2 linked regions of the Nothobranchius furzeri genome follow. The protein of the gene in region 1 interacts with the protein of each later gene in a biochemical or structural test. Links are inferred from orthologs where the notes say so. Each region holds a gene or a part of one and is shown on either strand. Other genes may lie near its edges.

Region 1 (8,361 bases):
ATTTTAGGTTTAATAGATCTAATTTACAGTGATGACAACTCTGAGGGGGGTGGATTTTTATACATCTTCCATTTAGGTGGAATTAAATGCTTGAAATTATGAATAATTAGATTTGATTTACAGGTAGCATGAGATGGAGGTGGTGAGACCCGCTGATTTGGCTTCAAAAAGGCCCCACAGAAAGCTATAGGTCGGGTCTGTTTGTTTTATACAGTAATGGTGTTAATGAGGAGTCGAACTCTTTGGGACTTTTGCAGGTTTACCTCACAGGTGAACACTGATGTCATCATTAAACGATGACAGAATGAGGGAAAAACAAACCAACAGTGTATGAAATTAAAAAAAGGAAATATGCCTCCATTGTTTGTCAGAAAGTGACAATGTGTAGTTTTTACCATTCATCTCTGGAAATATCCACCAAAATGTTGTTGTAAATGAATTAAAAGAAGCCCAGTTGATGAAAAATATTGGCAGTTTCATAACATATAACCTGAAAAATATGTTCTAAAATACATGGGAGCGGGTCTAAGGCCTAGTCCACACGTAGCCGGGGTTTTTTAAAAACGAATATCCGCCCCTCCAAAAACTTGCATCCACACCACTGCGTTTTAAAAACAAACTCTGTCCACACGTACCCGGATAAATACGTTGTTAAGGACATGCCAGACCTGTAGGCGGCAGTACTTCCCCCGTTCTTAACCTCGTCCTTCGTCTGTGGTCTTCCGCAAGGAGCAGTAATTCCGCTTGCAAAAACAAACAAGCAGAAAGCGCTTGGACAATTGATGGATCGGGTAGTGACAGAGCGCAGCTCTGAGGGCTTCCATGATGTCGGCTAGTGTAAACACAGGTCGCACACGTGATGTCAGCATTTTTTGTCGCGGAAAGTGACGTTGCGGATCTTAAAACTCCGGTTTTGTCCGTCCACACGCAGACACCCAAAACGAAGAAAACGCAGATCTTCACTTTGGCTGGAGTTTTTAAAAAGATCCGTTTTCGTGTGAAAAAACTCAGTTTTCGTGTGGATGACAGGCCAAAACGTAGGAAAAAATCTACGTTTTGGCAGATCCCCGGCTACGTGTGGACAGGGCCTAAGTCTCTGGGCGGCGCCATATTGGATGCCATATTTCCTTCTACGGAAGCCCGTGAGGACAAAATGCATTTCCTGATTTGTAACAAGCGGTTACAAAACTTCACCATTAATAAACGTTGTTTAACACATTTACCTCTTCGCACGCTGAGCTCCCATGGATTTTTGACCCTAAAGGCCATCCGTTGGTAAGGTCTTAAGCCTAATTTATACTTCTCTGTTTGCGTCGGGACGGACACATGCACGCAATTCTCAGTCCTTGCAAGCCTGCTAGAGCCCTCGCAAGGACGGACGGAGTCGACCTCTCTTTTCTAAACATCCGTCTGCCCAGATGGAGAACGCAAGCTTGTGATTGGTCAGTATGTCGCTGTCGCCTACAGCGCCGCCATTGCGCCCTCAAAAACACAAATAGAGCTGAGGATATCTAGCGGCAGACACGGAGCAGCTTCAAGGGTGCCTTGCGGAAAAACTCTAAAAATATGAACGTTTTATCACCTGTGACTGGAGGAGTGAAAAGATACGCAGCAAGAGTTTTATTTGTTGATGGAAATGACAGGAAACGTGGGTTTAGAGGTGGCGAGAGCAGGAAAAGGTGGAGGATGAGGGACACATTTTTCTGTGTTAAAAAGTCTTTTAAATACAAAAAACACAATATTAACACACTATCTTGGACTGGATACATGACAGGATACCACAGAACAGCGCTACGCCCTCTGTTGTCCTGGCGGGGAATTGCTTTGCAACACTCTCCAGGAGACGGAGAAGTATGAGGGAAAACTGTCTCTGTCTGTGCGTGCGTGTCTCTCCCTCGTGGAGCTGACGGAGAAGTAACACAAAAGTAATGCCTGCTTGCAATCATTTAGGTATGTACTGCCCCCTATCGCCAGGGAAACTACACACTTTCACTTTAAGCCCCTTACATGACCTGTGGACACACAAGCTTCCGTAGCAGCTCTTCTCTGCTTTTACTGCAGCACAGCCACGTTTTGTGTGACTGTGAACCTAATGTTTTAGGATTTACACAATCAGAAAATAAAGATTGTTGATGAATGAGGGTAAATGAGGGTATATATATATATATATATATATATATATATATATATATATATATATATATATATATATATATATCTATATCGAATATGCAACTATATAAGGATTAAATACAGAAATTACAGACCATGATAAGCAGTCTAGTGCTCCCTGCAGTGATGCTTTCTCACACTCTTATAATTATTTTCGTTCCTTGTAAGTTTTTTTTTTTTTTTTTGCTGAAGATGAAAAGCAGGTGCGATTCCCCTCCCAACTTGATGAGTATTTGTGTTTAAATAAAGGAAATGGGACTTTTTCATAAATGAGAGACGGAGCTTTGATTATCCACGAACAGCTACATCTTCTTCAGAAAAGTCTCATTACCATTTTTAAATAATCCATATTTAGCAATGTGGTGAACTTTCTCTGGGGGTTAGCCTTACTGTAGTCGGACCAGCTGGAGTAGAGCAAGTGGCGAGCGTCGGGGGTGAAGCAGACATCCAGCACGCTCCAGCCGACATCACGCGCCTTCACCGTCCGCTGCAGGTTAAAGCGTCCTCTGGAGGTGTCGTACAGGCGGATGTTCTGATCTGAAAAAAGGATTTATTACATTTTTATGGATTAAAGCAGCAGTTATTTATGAGCATTGGTGAAGCATTACATCAGTGTCTTGCTGTCAGCTCAGAGCTCGCAGAAGCACATGAATAAAAAAACGAGACAGAAAACAGGCAGCAACTTGTCTGCTCACTTCTGTCAAAACAGAAGATCATGAGTGAGGAAATAAAAGATTAATTTATCTTCTAATAATATCTTAAAACAAACGTACCTTTTCTGTATCTGCTTTAAGGGACGATAGTTTTTGTTCTGTTAGATTATGATAAAAGCTGTGATAGTTGTGTTTGTGTGACTGCATAAACAGTTACGTTAATCTGCACTTTTATTATTATTTTAAGATCAAATTCAGCTCTTTGAGCTCTGAGGTCAGACGTCGTGTTGTTTACCTTGGCAGGCAGAGAGGAACGTGTTGCCATCCTCGCTGTAAACACCACAGAAAGCTTTCTGCAGGTACGAATCCTTGTGGGAGACATAATTTGGTAGGAAGCTGAGAAACAAAGAAAAAAGGTTCATGCTAAAAACATAATCCAAGCAGAAATTCAACCTTTTGTCATAAACAGACGTGTGACTGCTTCTCACTGTGTGCGGATACGGCTGCACTCTCCATGGGAAAAGCTGGAGCCTCTACACCTGCCTTGTTCCCTCTGGGAACAACAGGAAGAACAAACGTTTATAACTAATTAAAAAACAACAACTATAAAATCACATCATTTACAAAAAAAAATGCTTCAGTTTTTTTATAGAACATATCTAATGAGCTGCCCTCTGGTTTAGGTTTGTAGTGTGTGGTCTGACCTCTGTGAGCATGTGGGTGAAACTGTGACGGCCTTTCAGGGATGACGAGGCCGTGGCCAGGAGGATCTGAGTTCGGATCTCACTGTGGTCCACTTCGTGTGTGTCGGGCTGGGAGTCCACTAGGGAGAGAAGATCACGTCTGAGTAGGAGGTCAGAGCTGACGGCAGGATCTCAGCTGCATACTTTATGTTCAGGTATAAGCTCAAATTGTGATGGGGAAGTCTGTATGAATATGTCCAACGCTCCGTGGGCTGGTCCGGTGTTATTCCAGACTTTCATTTTTACAACTTGCTGCCAAACTGGTTTTAAGCTCCATGAAAACAAATAAAGCATTTAATAAACCCCTCTAGCTATAATTAACAGACTCGGTGCTGCACACAAGACAGCTGGTGTGATCAGCTCTGAAGAGCGTTGATCACAATTTGCAGATCACGTTTATTTTTCACGGAGATCGGCTGCGGATTCCTCTTCCGGTTGGCATTCTAGGAATCAAAATAAAAAACTTTGAACATTTCTGGGAAAAACTAACAGTTGGAACCGGTTCCAATCGATGCTCGATGCCCAACCCTAGTAAGCAACACTTTAGTCTCCTAACTTAAAGCCTGTGAATGCAGCAGAGTCAGGAGTTACCTGGTGGATTGTAACGGTCCCCAAGACGTCCATCCCAGGCTCCGTCACTGTCCTCATCAGAGTCAGAATAGGACTGGACCAGCTGCAGTCCTGTAGCTTCACTGCCATGGACCAGTCGGACCTGGCCCCTGCACACACACAAACATCATTCAGTATGTGGCCCCACTGAGCAGCAACGAGTAAGTTAAAGGTCAAGCTGTCACCTAAATGGACACTAAAGTAAACACAGCTTATTTTGGAGATCGGCTGAAAGCTAAAAAATGTTCAGTCTTTCTAAAACGTCCCCAGTTGATCTGCTGCTTTCACTTGTTTCCTGTTAATAACAGAATCTTAATTAGGGGAATGTTTTGGTATTGGAAACTCAAAAATATCAGAGATGCCTTATTTAAGCAGTAAACACTCTAAGCATCATCTATCTGATCGTATATACTATACTTTAAAAGCTAAATCTAAACATGTGTGACGTGTGTAATCCTGTAAACATCCAGTCTGACTCCAGCTGCTCACACATGGAAGCTGAACAGGAAATCAGAAATTACAACGACCTTGAGTTACACATCACTGATGATGGAGCTGAGACAAGAAAAATACCCTAGAAGCTCGTTAATAACAGATCACCTCCTCAGTAGATAAGCCAGAACTTCAGCTAAGTCTACGTCCTCCTCTGAAGCCGACTGCCGGTCTCCCAGCTGCCTGTCTGCCGACCTGCGGCCTCGGTTACTGCTGCTGCTGCTCTGGTTCGGTTCGGCTCCTTCAGACTGACCTGCTGGGTTGTCACTGGAAGAGCCCCTTCCACAAGACATCCCAGAACTGGACTGAGAGCCCATAGACTGAAAAGGCCTGGCAGAGAGATGTAAAAGAACAGGCTCAGGTTTACCTGAGGAAGTCAGGTGAGCGCAGACAAAACAAAAACACTGAGGTCTATTGCAGCTGGACCAGACTGACATCGGTTAGTTACTGAATCTACAACAGGCAAGCTACGGGTTCGGGTAAAGAAATCGACCAGAACATTTGTGATGTGTTGTTAGCTTGTCACCATTAAAGATGTGTCTGATAAGGATGAGTTAGCAGCGACAGCTAACAACAGCCGCTACCGTTTGACTGTCCTGCTGACAGCTCCTCGCTCCGCCTACTCTCTCGTTCCGGTGTGGACTTTATTTGATGTTAGAACCGGAACTTGAACGCAGCCTGTTGCGCGGAAAACTGGAGATCAAACAGCGTGGAGTTTGTTTTTTAGTCTGCTAGCTGGAACGCTGGAACAGTCCGCGGGTCGCCATGTTGTTTACAAAAGTGCGAAAAAACCCTGCGCGTGCCCCCCTCCTGCACTTTCACCGTCACGTGACCAGCAGTGATGTCGCAATTGGCTGAGAATCCAGGCGAGGAGATGGTTGAAAAATCACTTACACAAGTTCAGCAAAAGTTTTAACAAATTAGTATTAAACCTGAAATAAAATCGTGTTAAATCAACAGAAGCCTACTTTTAAACAAAAGACGCGTTTTCAACTACTAAACATAGATGTGTTAGAGTTCCTGTGTACAAAATAATGTTTTATCAACCACAGTTTGCAGGACACAATCTTTGATTGCCTCCATTAGCATCAAAACATAACAAGAACACCAAAAATGTTTTTTTCCCCACAAGAAACAGAACTGAAAATGCTCACGATTTTTACTGAAAAAAACAAAAACAAAAAGCATATTTTGTATTACCGTAAATCCTCTAATACAGGCCCGGGTCTGTATTTGACTCAAGCTCATCAAGCTCCAGGCCTTTATTGGAAGGAGGACCAGAATTAGAGGCAGGCCTCAATTTCTCTTTGAGCAAAATGAACTAATGGTTCGCTGGAGTTTTTGACAATTAAAATTGCGCCCACATTTTCAAAGTTAAACACATTTCTTTTAACAAAGGTAGTTCCTGCTTCAGCCATCTCCCCCCTCCCCCTGTGCAGCGGCCGCAAACTCACTGATGCGCCTGCAGCCTCTCGGAGTTCCTGCTGCTCTAAACATTAAAATAATTATTTCATTTTCTGTTCCTCACTTCTGATTACCTTCAATGGTGTCTGTTTGTTGCAACCACCAGGTAAACTAACTTGTTTTTATTTGACTTTTTTTCTGTCCTGCCTGTTTATTATCTTCCTACATCTCCTCTCAATCCTAAAGAAAAACTGCTACCTGGGTTCATATATATTCACCTTATGAGTTACCTTTGAACTGCAGTTCTAAAAGATCTACCGACCGCAAAAACAGCGGAGTGTGCGCTGCTTGCCGGCCACGGGAGGCAACGCGCTGTGCCAGAGCGTCGGTATTGACAGCCGCCGTAAAACGGACATTTGACCAAATTGTGATGTTTACCCTCTTGCAATTTAACATTCCCCTCACCCCCATCCTAACCTTAACCAGCTTGCGCATGCAAAGCTCTGATTGTTGACGCGCTCCAGACATCTGCGTCCTGAGCACGGCCACAGTAACATTATCAAATCAGGTGTCGCTACCTCAAAAACTAATTTAACACGCGATCGTTCATGTCGGCTCATTTCCTTTTATGTTTTCTGTTTTTTATTCTTTTATTTGTGCCTGATGCGTTTCACTGCTGTGGATCGGGGCGCATCACCTGTCACCTGCTGACAGCAGGCTGCTGTCTTTTCCGAGGACTGCATCTTGCCGGTCATTATCACGTGACAGCGACTAGTCGATGACAGGCATAAAAAGTCACTATAGAGCGGTGAAGTCGACTAGTGACTAGTTCATACAACCCCTGCTACTGCTCCCCAGAGTGTTCTGCAGCATAATCAGCACGTTCTCTTTGAACTTGATATCAAATTTTCGCCTCCTCTTCGTCTCCGCACGGTTAAAGTTACCCTCGCGGTCTATCACTGGCAAATCAAAAGTGAGACGGATGACTCAACCGCCCCCCGTACTTGCTTGTTACCACATTCCACCCGGCCACAATAAAAAACCGGCCATCATTCACCTCCGCCGTCTCCGACACCGGCCAAAATGTGATACCCGGCAGTTAATTAAATACAGGCTAATATTAGAGGATTTACAGTATTTATATGAATGTATGAATATAATAAATGAGAATGTGTTATTTGTAACTGTAGGTCAAATGTTGTGTTAAAATATCCTTAGATAACAACAAGGAAAAAATTTTAAATCATTTTTGGCTAACAGATGTTGTCATCAACAACTGGATAACCAAATGCTAGCTAAAGTTTCACTTGATAGAATATCTTGAGACCATCAATGCACCGCAACACAACACTCATTAAATACTACAGTTCTGTCAAACAATTTATTCGAAATAAACGTGGAAACGTAGAGATTTGGGAAAAAAAACTAGCTAGGTGGTTTGCAAGAAAAATAATTCAAAGTGGTAAATAATCTTGTGACATTTTCATCTTTGGCTTCTCAGATTCAGATTTATTGGCCAAGTAAAATTACATTTACAAGGAATTTAGCTTCAGTAGATGTTAGCTCTCTAAAAACATGTGTGGAGTCTTGGACAACGTTCGCTGCCTTTTTCCTGGTCCTGCTGGTGTACAATTCCTGGACAGAGGGCAGTTGGGCACCAATGATTTTTCCTGCTGTTTTAATTATGCGCTATAGTCTGCATTTTTCTATTTTTGTGGCTGACCCAAACCAGACAGTGATGGATGAGCAGAGTATGGATTTGACTTTAGCAGTATAGAAGATGATCAGCAGCTCTTGAGGTAGGCCATACTTCCTTAGTTGCCGTAGAAACTACATCCTCTGCTGAGCCTTTTTGAGGATGTAAATGTTTTCTCCCACTTCAGATACTTAAAAATGATAGTTCCCAAGAACTTGAATGAGTCCACCATTGACACTGGGCTGTTGGATATTGTGAGAGGGGACAGCACTGTGGGAAGCTTCCTAAAATCCACGACCATCTCCACAGTCTTAAGGGTGTTAAGCTCAAGATTGTGCTGACTACACCAGACCACCAGCCTCTCAACTTCTCGCTGATAAGCAGACTCATCACCATCCTGGATGAGCCCAATGACAGTGGTGTCATCTGCAAATTGCAGGATTTTAACAGCTGTATCCTCAGAGGTGCAGTCATTGGTGTAAAAAGAAAAGAGCAGTGGACAAAGGACGCACCCCTGTGGTGCACCAGTGTTGATCAACCTTGTGCCAGATGTAACGTTGTTCAACCGCACATGCTGGCTCCTATTTGTCAG
Region 2 (6,872 bases), on another chromosome or scaffold:
TCATATCCTACCTGTGGATCAGAATCACTAACAATGAGGATTATTATTCCAACAAGCATCAGGCTCCTCAGACTACCTGACACTCGTCACTTCCAGAATGATCCCAACACCAGCTATTCTGACCACTTGTGAACAAGCAGCATCTTTTAGGCAGCGTAGTTTTAAATCTACAAGGTAATTCATGAAGTCCAACCAGCCTGTTGTCGTGTTTTAACGTCGCCATAATCAAATCTCGTATGCGTTTATTCACTCCGCTTGGCCCAAACGCAACACCAAATGAAGCTCATTGCGCTCCACAGCTGGCTCTCCTTCAGCGGCTAATCTGTGGTAGCTTCTGCAGGAGCGGCTGAGAAACGGTGAGAACCTCCTACCCTGTATGCTCTGAGCTGGCGGTGGTGGGACCAGACTGGACTCTGGGCCACTTGCCTCTGCTGCCTCCTTCACACTCTTCTGGGACTTGGCTTTGGGATCCGTTTTTGGTTTATCCAACATGGAGGGTGGCTGGTTCAACTCCACCTGAACAGAAACCATTAGAGATAATAAAAAAAATAATGTTATTGTTCCTAACTACTGAGCCACAACACGTCGAAACAACTTAGCAGCGTAGTCTAATCCAGCTCCTACAAGATCATCCCTGAGCCCCAAGTCCATCGACACGCTCAAATGGTTTACTTAAATCCAAACTTCCTCTGCTGGGAGACGAAAGTGAATTTTGTCACGGTACAGCTGCCACGTCATGTGACCATGAGATGATCTTCCATTTTCATCACAATCCCTAGTTTGTGGCAGCAGCTCAGGGAACACCTAAACCGCGCCTTCTGGTGGCGGCACGCCAGACAGCGAAGACAAAATCAGCACAAATGATGAGAGCCGTCGCTCTAAACAACAAGCCCCGCCCCCTTCTTTAGCTCAGGTGGACTTCACAGGAAAACCTTAACAGGTGACAGGAACTGGACTTTGCGTGTGAACAGGTGTTCACCTCCGCTCCTCACCTGTTTCCTCACAGGGAGACGGGCATCCTCAGGAGCTGGTCCCAGAGCCAGGCCCAGCAGCCAATCAGAGTACGGGACATTCTTCTCCACAGCTGCTCTGAACTTGGGGTCCCATTTGGAGTAGAGCAGTGTCCCTCCCACGCCTCCGCCTACCGTCACCAAGCCGAGAGCAACCACTCTGGAGGCGCCGCTGTGATGGGGAGGGGCAGACGGTTAGGTTTTTACCTGTGAGGTGTGTCCTTACCTCACCTGAGGGGTCAGTTACCTGCTCCTGCTGGTGGAGTAGCACCTGTAGGACTGCAGCGGAGTCAGAGGACTTCTCACACAGTTCTTCTGAAACACACAATGTCCCAGGTACAGTGAAGGCAGCATCTACGGTTGTGACGTCACCTCCAACTAAACTCACCTGTAAACATCAAATCTCTGAACACACAGGTCACCTGAGAGGTGCTCGTTAGGGTTCGGACCCTAATCCTTACCGGTACCGGAGGGAATGTAAACAAAGCCTAACCGCGGGCTAACCAGAGACGCCAAACTGGACCGGATGTCCTGGCACAAAACTGGTTCTGTTCAACCCTGAGAACCGTGGAACCTTGAGCTGGGTCACCGGATGACCCCACCATGCTAGCTGCTAACAGGACGGGTTCGGCTCTTACCCGGACCGTGGCGTGGGCTCCTCGCAGGCACACTCCAAGCATGGTCCTCGCTTCAACGGTCCGAGTCCAAAGCGGGTTCGGCGGTGGCACCACGACAACTTTCCTTCACACAGTCGCTCAGCGGACACAAACCAGAACCGGACCGGAACCTCCTCCCGCTGCCAGGCTTCACTTCCGGGTGGAAAAGCAACCCGTCTTCAGCGCCACCTGCTGGTGGGGAGTATGGCTCCATCCACGCGGACGTTCTCTCCTCTTTACCTGTCGGTCCTCGGGTGGTCTTCCTCCTGGCAGTAGATGGTGAAGGTCCACACTGTGGTCCGGCCCGCATCGCACCCGATTAGAGTAAAAACAGGTCCAACTGCCACCGGTCCCGTCCATCAGCTTCTAGTCATCACTTGCTGACTTCTCATTCTCACTCGACTCCCGCCATCAGGCACGGCTCGGCTGTGGAGGTCTCCGTAGGAGCAGAACCTTCTCTAGCTCTCCGTTCAACTATTCCCAGGAGGGGAATGCCGGGTCACAATTTCTGATCCAGTTTTCACACGTTCCCCTCCACTCCTTGATCGATTCCGTGGTCTTCAGAGAGCAAATGAAGTTTCATTGATGTTCTCCACCTGGTCCATCGTGAGCTCCTTCACCAAACACACTGGTTCCAGCATGTTTCCTAGTGCCGACACGTACACAAGAACAAACTCGTCCCGTACTCACTTCCACCTGAATGCCTCCCAAGTACTTTATTCCATAAAAACTCGGACCTTCTCAAGGATTTCAGGCACCAGTCAGAACCAGTAACGAGGTTGTTCTTTTTATTTTCATGTCTTCATCAAAAGCAAACAAACAAACAGTTGTAATAAGGACATATTAAAATTACACGTAGTTCATAACAGCAAACGTAAAACTGTCCGGCTCAACAGTCAAATCAGAGCTCTACAAAATATTCTACAAGCCGTCCGCCGTCGCTCCTCCTTAAATAACTCCTGGACTCAGGTCGATGCGACGTCTCCCCACCGGGACACAAACAGACGAGGACAACAGGGGCTCATCCCAGCAGTCTCCTGACGGGTCAAAGCTGGAATTATAAACCTGGTGGTGGAGTGATCTCCCTGAGCAGATGTCCAAGTTAAAAGTGTCCTTTTTACGGACTAAAAACAAATATTTGAACCCAAACGACTCCAGAACACACTTCCTAGATGCAGGTGGAGTTCAGCAGGAACCCCAACCATGAGCTACACCATGTCAGGCCCCCCTGGGCTCTCTGTCCTCTGGACTTTAACTGGGGTCCCCAGGTAGTCTTGATCCTGAACAACACAGAACAAGCAGATTCAGAACCGAGCCCAAAAAGTGTTAGGTTTAACCTGTCGGTTCGTAACTACGCTAACTCACCGTTACAGAGGAGGCGTGCACCCAGTGGGCGGTGGGGGGGTGCTCAGAGTGCGACAGGGTAGGGAAGTCCAACTCGATATCCATGACGTCACCAAAATCCAGCTCCTCACAGGGGTCCAGCTCCTGACTGGAGGAAAAACAAAATGACCTGCTGGGTTCGGCACAAGGAGGCTCCTCCGAGCCTGACGTTCTCCTACCTGCTGTTGCTGTTAGGAGTTGTCTTCTGGGAGCTCAATGACGGAGGATCCCAGGCATGCAGTTTGACCTTCCAAAGCTTGACCTGCTGGTCCCAGGAGCGCCGGCTGTACTTCCGGAACTTATTGGGGGTTTTCGGGTGGATGCCTGGCTGCCGCAGGTGCCTGAAAGCAGACACGGTCCAGGTTTTACGGACAACTCTCTACGGTGAGGGCGCTCCGATCAGAGAGATTTTTAAGAGGTCGGCCATAACCACATAAAACAGAAAGCAGGAACTTTTGTATTCACGCTGATTTTGAAACATTATGATGGCTTAGTTCTAATGTTGACAAGATCCATAGACGACGACACCGTAACATCCCACAATTTACAACAGACGGGGGATTCAGACACCGGAACATGTAGCTGTTAGCAACAGGCTAACGCGTATCCTCCGGAGAGAACACGTCTGCAGGTTGGACGTATTTTAAGCTGGACAGTGGAGGTGGAGCAATAGCCTCTGTTGTGTGTGCACACTGGGTATTTAACATGCCGAGCTGTAGTCAACACGATGAATCTGAAACGCCACCCTAAAAGTAAACCCTGCTCAGTTCACTGCAGCTACTCGGACAAAAACACGAAGCAGGACTAGCTGGCGGGTGTGACCCGTGTTTGTGACCAGCAACAGGCACGGCCATCATTTATCACTGGAGCTGGTATGAGCTGTCACTATTTAAAGAGCAAGTCACCCCAAATCACATTTTTTTTTGCTGATAAACTATATAAAGGAGTGTCTAATCATGCTACAGACACGTGTCGTCAATAGTTTGGCAGTTCAGTGCATCTTGGTTAAAATTCAAATATTCTGTCTAAAACTGTCAGTGTTGCGCCGTCGTCAGAGAAAAATTGTGCACTGTATTAGAATTTAAACCTGCCAATGCTATTGGCTAAGAGGTATGATATGATGTCATCTGGTACATTATGATGTCATAATGCCATTGTGAGCCTGTGTGTGTGTATTTGTTAGCGGCTCCGCCCTCTCGGTCTGCCAAGCAGCAGCATTTGTTGCATTTTTCAAACATGAAGAGGGAGTGAAGTAAGTTTCTTGTAGGGGGTGACTTGCTCTTTAACAAACATCTCTGCACAGTTTGTGCCCAGACCCGCCCGTTCAGTGGAGGGAACGCGCACCGATCAGTAAACGATTTGAACAGAGCCACGCGGCTACTTTAAAAAATACTTCAAGGGACGACTTGGATGTGTGATTTTTTTCTTATTTTAATGTTTTGCAGAAATATTGGATCAGGACTCAGCATCGGCAGATACTCTCAATCAAATGACTCGTGACTCAAAATTGTGATCAGAACATCCCTACTCTACACCTGGGTTCCGGTTTTGCTATCGGTTCTGGGTGTGACCTACTTTGGGACCTCCTTGATGTATCTGTCGTAGGCCAGCGTGTTCTTGCCGTAGCTGATCTGTTTCTGTCGTCGCAGCAGAACGGATTCATCAGTCTCCATGTTCTCACCCTCTCTGGAGTCACAGCTGCACAACAAACAGAACACACACCTTTACTCGCCTCCTCTCGTTGGCTGGAAGAACCTTCTACGAACAGGTGAGACTTCATGAGCTTATGGCTACTAGCAGGGTATGTGCAGGTTTAAGGGAGCCAATTTAAGACTTTTTAAGACCTTTTTTCAGGCCACTTTGACCAAATTTAAGCTATTTTTAAAATTAAATTTAAGCTATAATTTCCAGCTATTGCCTGGAACCGGTGCTAACCACGTCGTGAACGTGGGATTAGCCATCCATTTACCATTAAACTTGCACTTCCCCATGGCGCAAGCTCCCACTAGCTTAACCAGCTAATGTGCTCATCTAAAAATTGCCCCCTTTCCCAACCAACTGAATGTGTACGGTTCCGCTTATGCCAACATCGTACACAAAAAATGCTGAACACTAACTATAAATTCATGAAAATTTTTATAGAAATAAAATAATCTTGTTTATTGGGTCTTTGGTGATTTAAGACCTTTGGAAACTGGATTTAAGGATTATTTGTCATTTTTAAGGATTTTCAAGGCCGTAAATTTGGAAAAGCAAATTTAAGACTTTTTAAGGACCTGCGGATACCCTGACTAGAGACCACCTGGACTGCTGTTAAACAGAAGCATGGTGGTTACCTCCCAGAGGAGCCAGACGAGGCTCTCCTCTCCCTCTGAGTGACCTCTGGACCCAGTATCCTCCTCCTGTAACTGAAGAGTCGAGAACGTCAGCTCGGAGTTAACAGAAACCAGCTGGTGTTCAGCAGAAAGCTCGTCTTACCGCTGCATGTCTTTGTGCATGTCTCTCCTCATCTCCTCATCCTCCACCTGGCTGCCCCAGTCAGTCGGCCGACTACATCTCGACACTGGTCCAGAGCTCTCTGGGGTGGTGAAACTACAGAAGACACACACACACACCATTAAACCAGTGGCACCAATCAGAGATTTCACAAGAGCTGTGTCAGGAGGACCTGCGCCATGATCATACCTGGCATGTCTGCACCAGTCATCACCATCTTCATCACTGTTATTCCGCAAACTTCCATCAACTCCTCTTTTCCTACTGTGGGACCACCGGGATGGGCCGCTGCTCCTGGTACAAATATAAAAGAAGGCTAGAATATTACTAGTCAGTAGCGTTTAAGGGGACATCTGATGTAAGATGTTCTTTAAAGAGAGGTGCTGTTGATCAGTCGCAGGTTTCTGCTCCACTTCCTGTGGGCCTGCTGCAGAGCCCTTGTATCCAGAGCTCACAGCGTTGAGCGTTTCCATTCATAAAAATCAAAATGCTTATAGACCTGGGGACCGAAATGCGATTTCTTATAGTCGTAACGTCTGTGCAGCCACAGAGCTCCAGACTAAATGATATTTTGCTCTTACCTGTAAAAGAGTGGCCCAAGAGAGGCCTGAAACGGCTCATTCTGTAAGCTACTGCAAATGTCAAGAGACCAGGGCTAACTGCCAGAGGTGGAGCTGCAAGTGTCCTGCCCAAGGGCACAGCGGCAGATTGAGCAGGGCGCAAACCTGCAACTCTGCGGTTACAGGGTGAGCACCCTGTCCCTAAAGTGGACAGCTGTCTCAAACAAGACACTGTCTCTGGATGGGGTCTAACAAAGACAAATGGTGCCCACTGTGATGAGTACTTACAAGCAGCTGGTGTGTTCTGACCCTACATGTCGATGGTTCTGACCCAAAGGCTGGTAGCTCTAATCCCTGGACCAACCGGTCCTGGTTCGGGTTGGTACGACCCTTGCCCAGCCAGAAACGATCAGAGAATTGATCTAATGAGGAATAAACATAAAGCTGATCGGAGCGGGACTGCAGCACAGTTTAAAATAATCTCCCGCCATTTACTTCCTACTTCCGGTCGATCCATTGTGTGTTGGCGCGCGGTGGCGCGGAATTTTGGGTGAGCCACTAAAGTCCGACCCGACAAGGTTTAAACATCTTCCACTCGGTTCCCGGTGGGACGAGCCCGGGAAGAACATAAGGGTAGATGACCGTCTCTCCTGGTCTAACCGGGCTGATCAGAACCGAGCCAGAAACGGTGACACGTACAGATGTAACCCCCGTTCAAATATGTCCCCATGCAGCGGACTCTGGACTTTATTAAGTACACGTCCCGA

What was found.
Region 2: the proteins of dcaf11 (region 1) and slbp form a complex in vitro, tested with the Homo sapiens proteins (2 studies listed by BioGRID, with this or other methods). The link is inferred for Nothobranchius furzeri from reciprocal best matches to the Homo sapiens genes DCAF11 and SLBP.

Annotation. Positions count from the first base shown.
Region 1 is NC_091747.1:42,041,605-42,049,965, reverse strand, and holds the start of dcaf11 (DDB1- and CUL4-associated factor 11), read right to left. Parts: upstream 5,329-8,361; 5' UTR 5,107-5,328; coding exon 4,778-5,106; intron 4,288-4,777; coding exon 4,160-4,287; intron 3,649-4,159; coding exon 3,530-3,648; intron 3,379-3,529; coding exon 3,314-3,378; intron 3,222-3,313; coding exon 3,121-3,221; intron 2,710-3,120; coding exon 2,563-2,709; intron 1-2,562. UniProt on the Homo sapiens protein: May function as a substrate receptor for CUL4-DDB1 E3 ubiquitin-protein ligase complex.
Region 2 is NC_091741.1:108,905,568-108,912,439, reverse strand, and holds the end of slbp (histone RNA hairpin-binding protein), read right to left. Parts: intron 5,840-6,872; coding exon 5,735-5,839; intron 5,642-5,734; coding exon 5,528-5,641; intron 5,458-5,527; coding exon 5,386-5,457; intron 4,748-5,385; coding exon 4,625-4,747; intron 3,391-4,624; coding exon 3,229-3,390; intron 3,159-3,228; coding exon 3,032-3,158; intron 2,947-3,031; coding exon 2,875-2,946; 3' UTR 2,438-2,874; downstream 1-2,437. Other genes in the region: immt (MICOS complex subunit MIC60), read right to left, coding at 372-516, 993-1,182, 1,258-1,325, 1,649-1,690. UniProt on the Homo sapiens protein: RNA-binding protein involved in the histone pre-mRNA processing.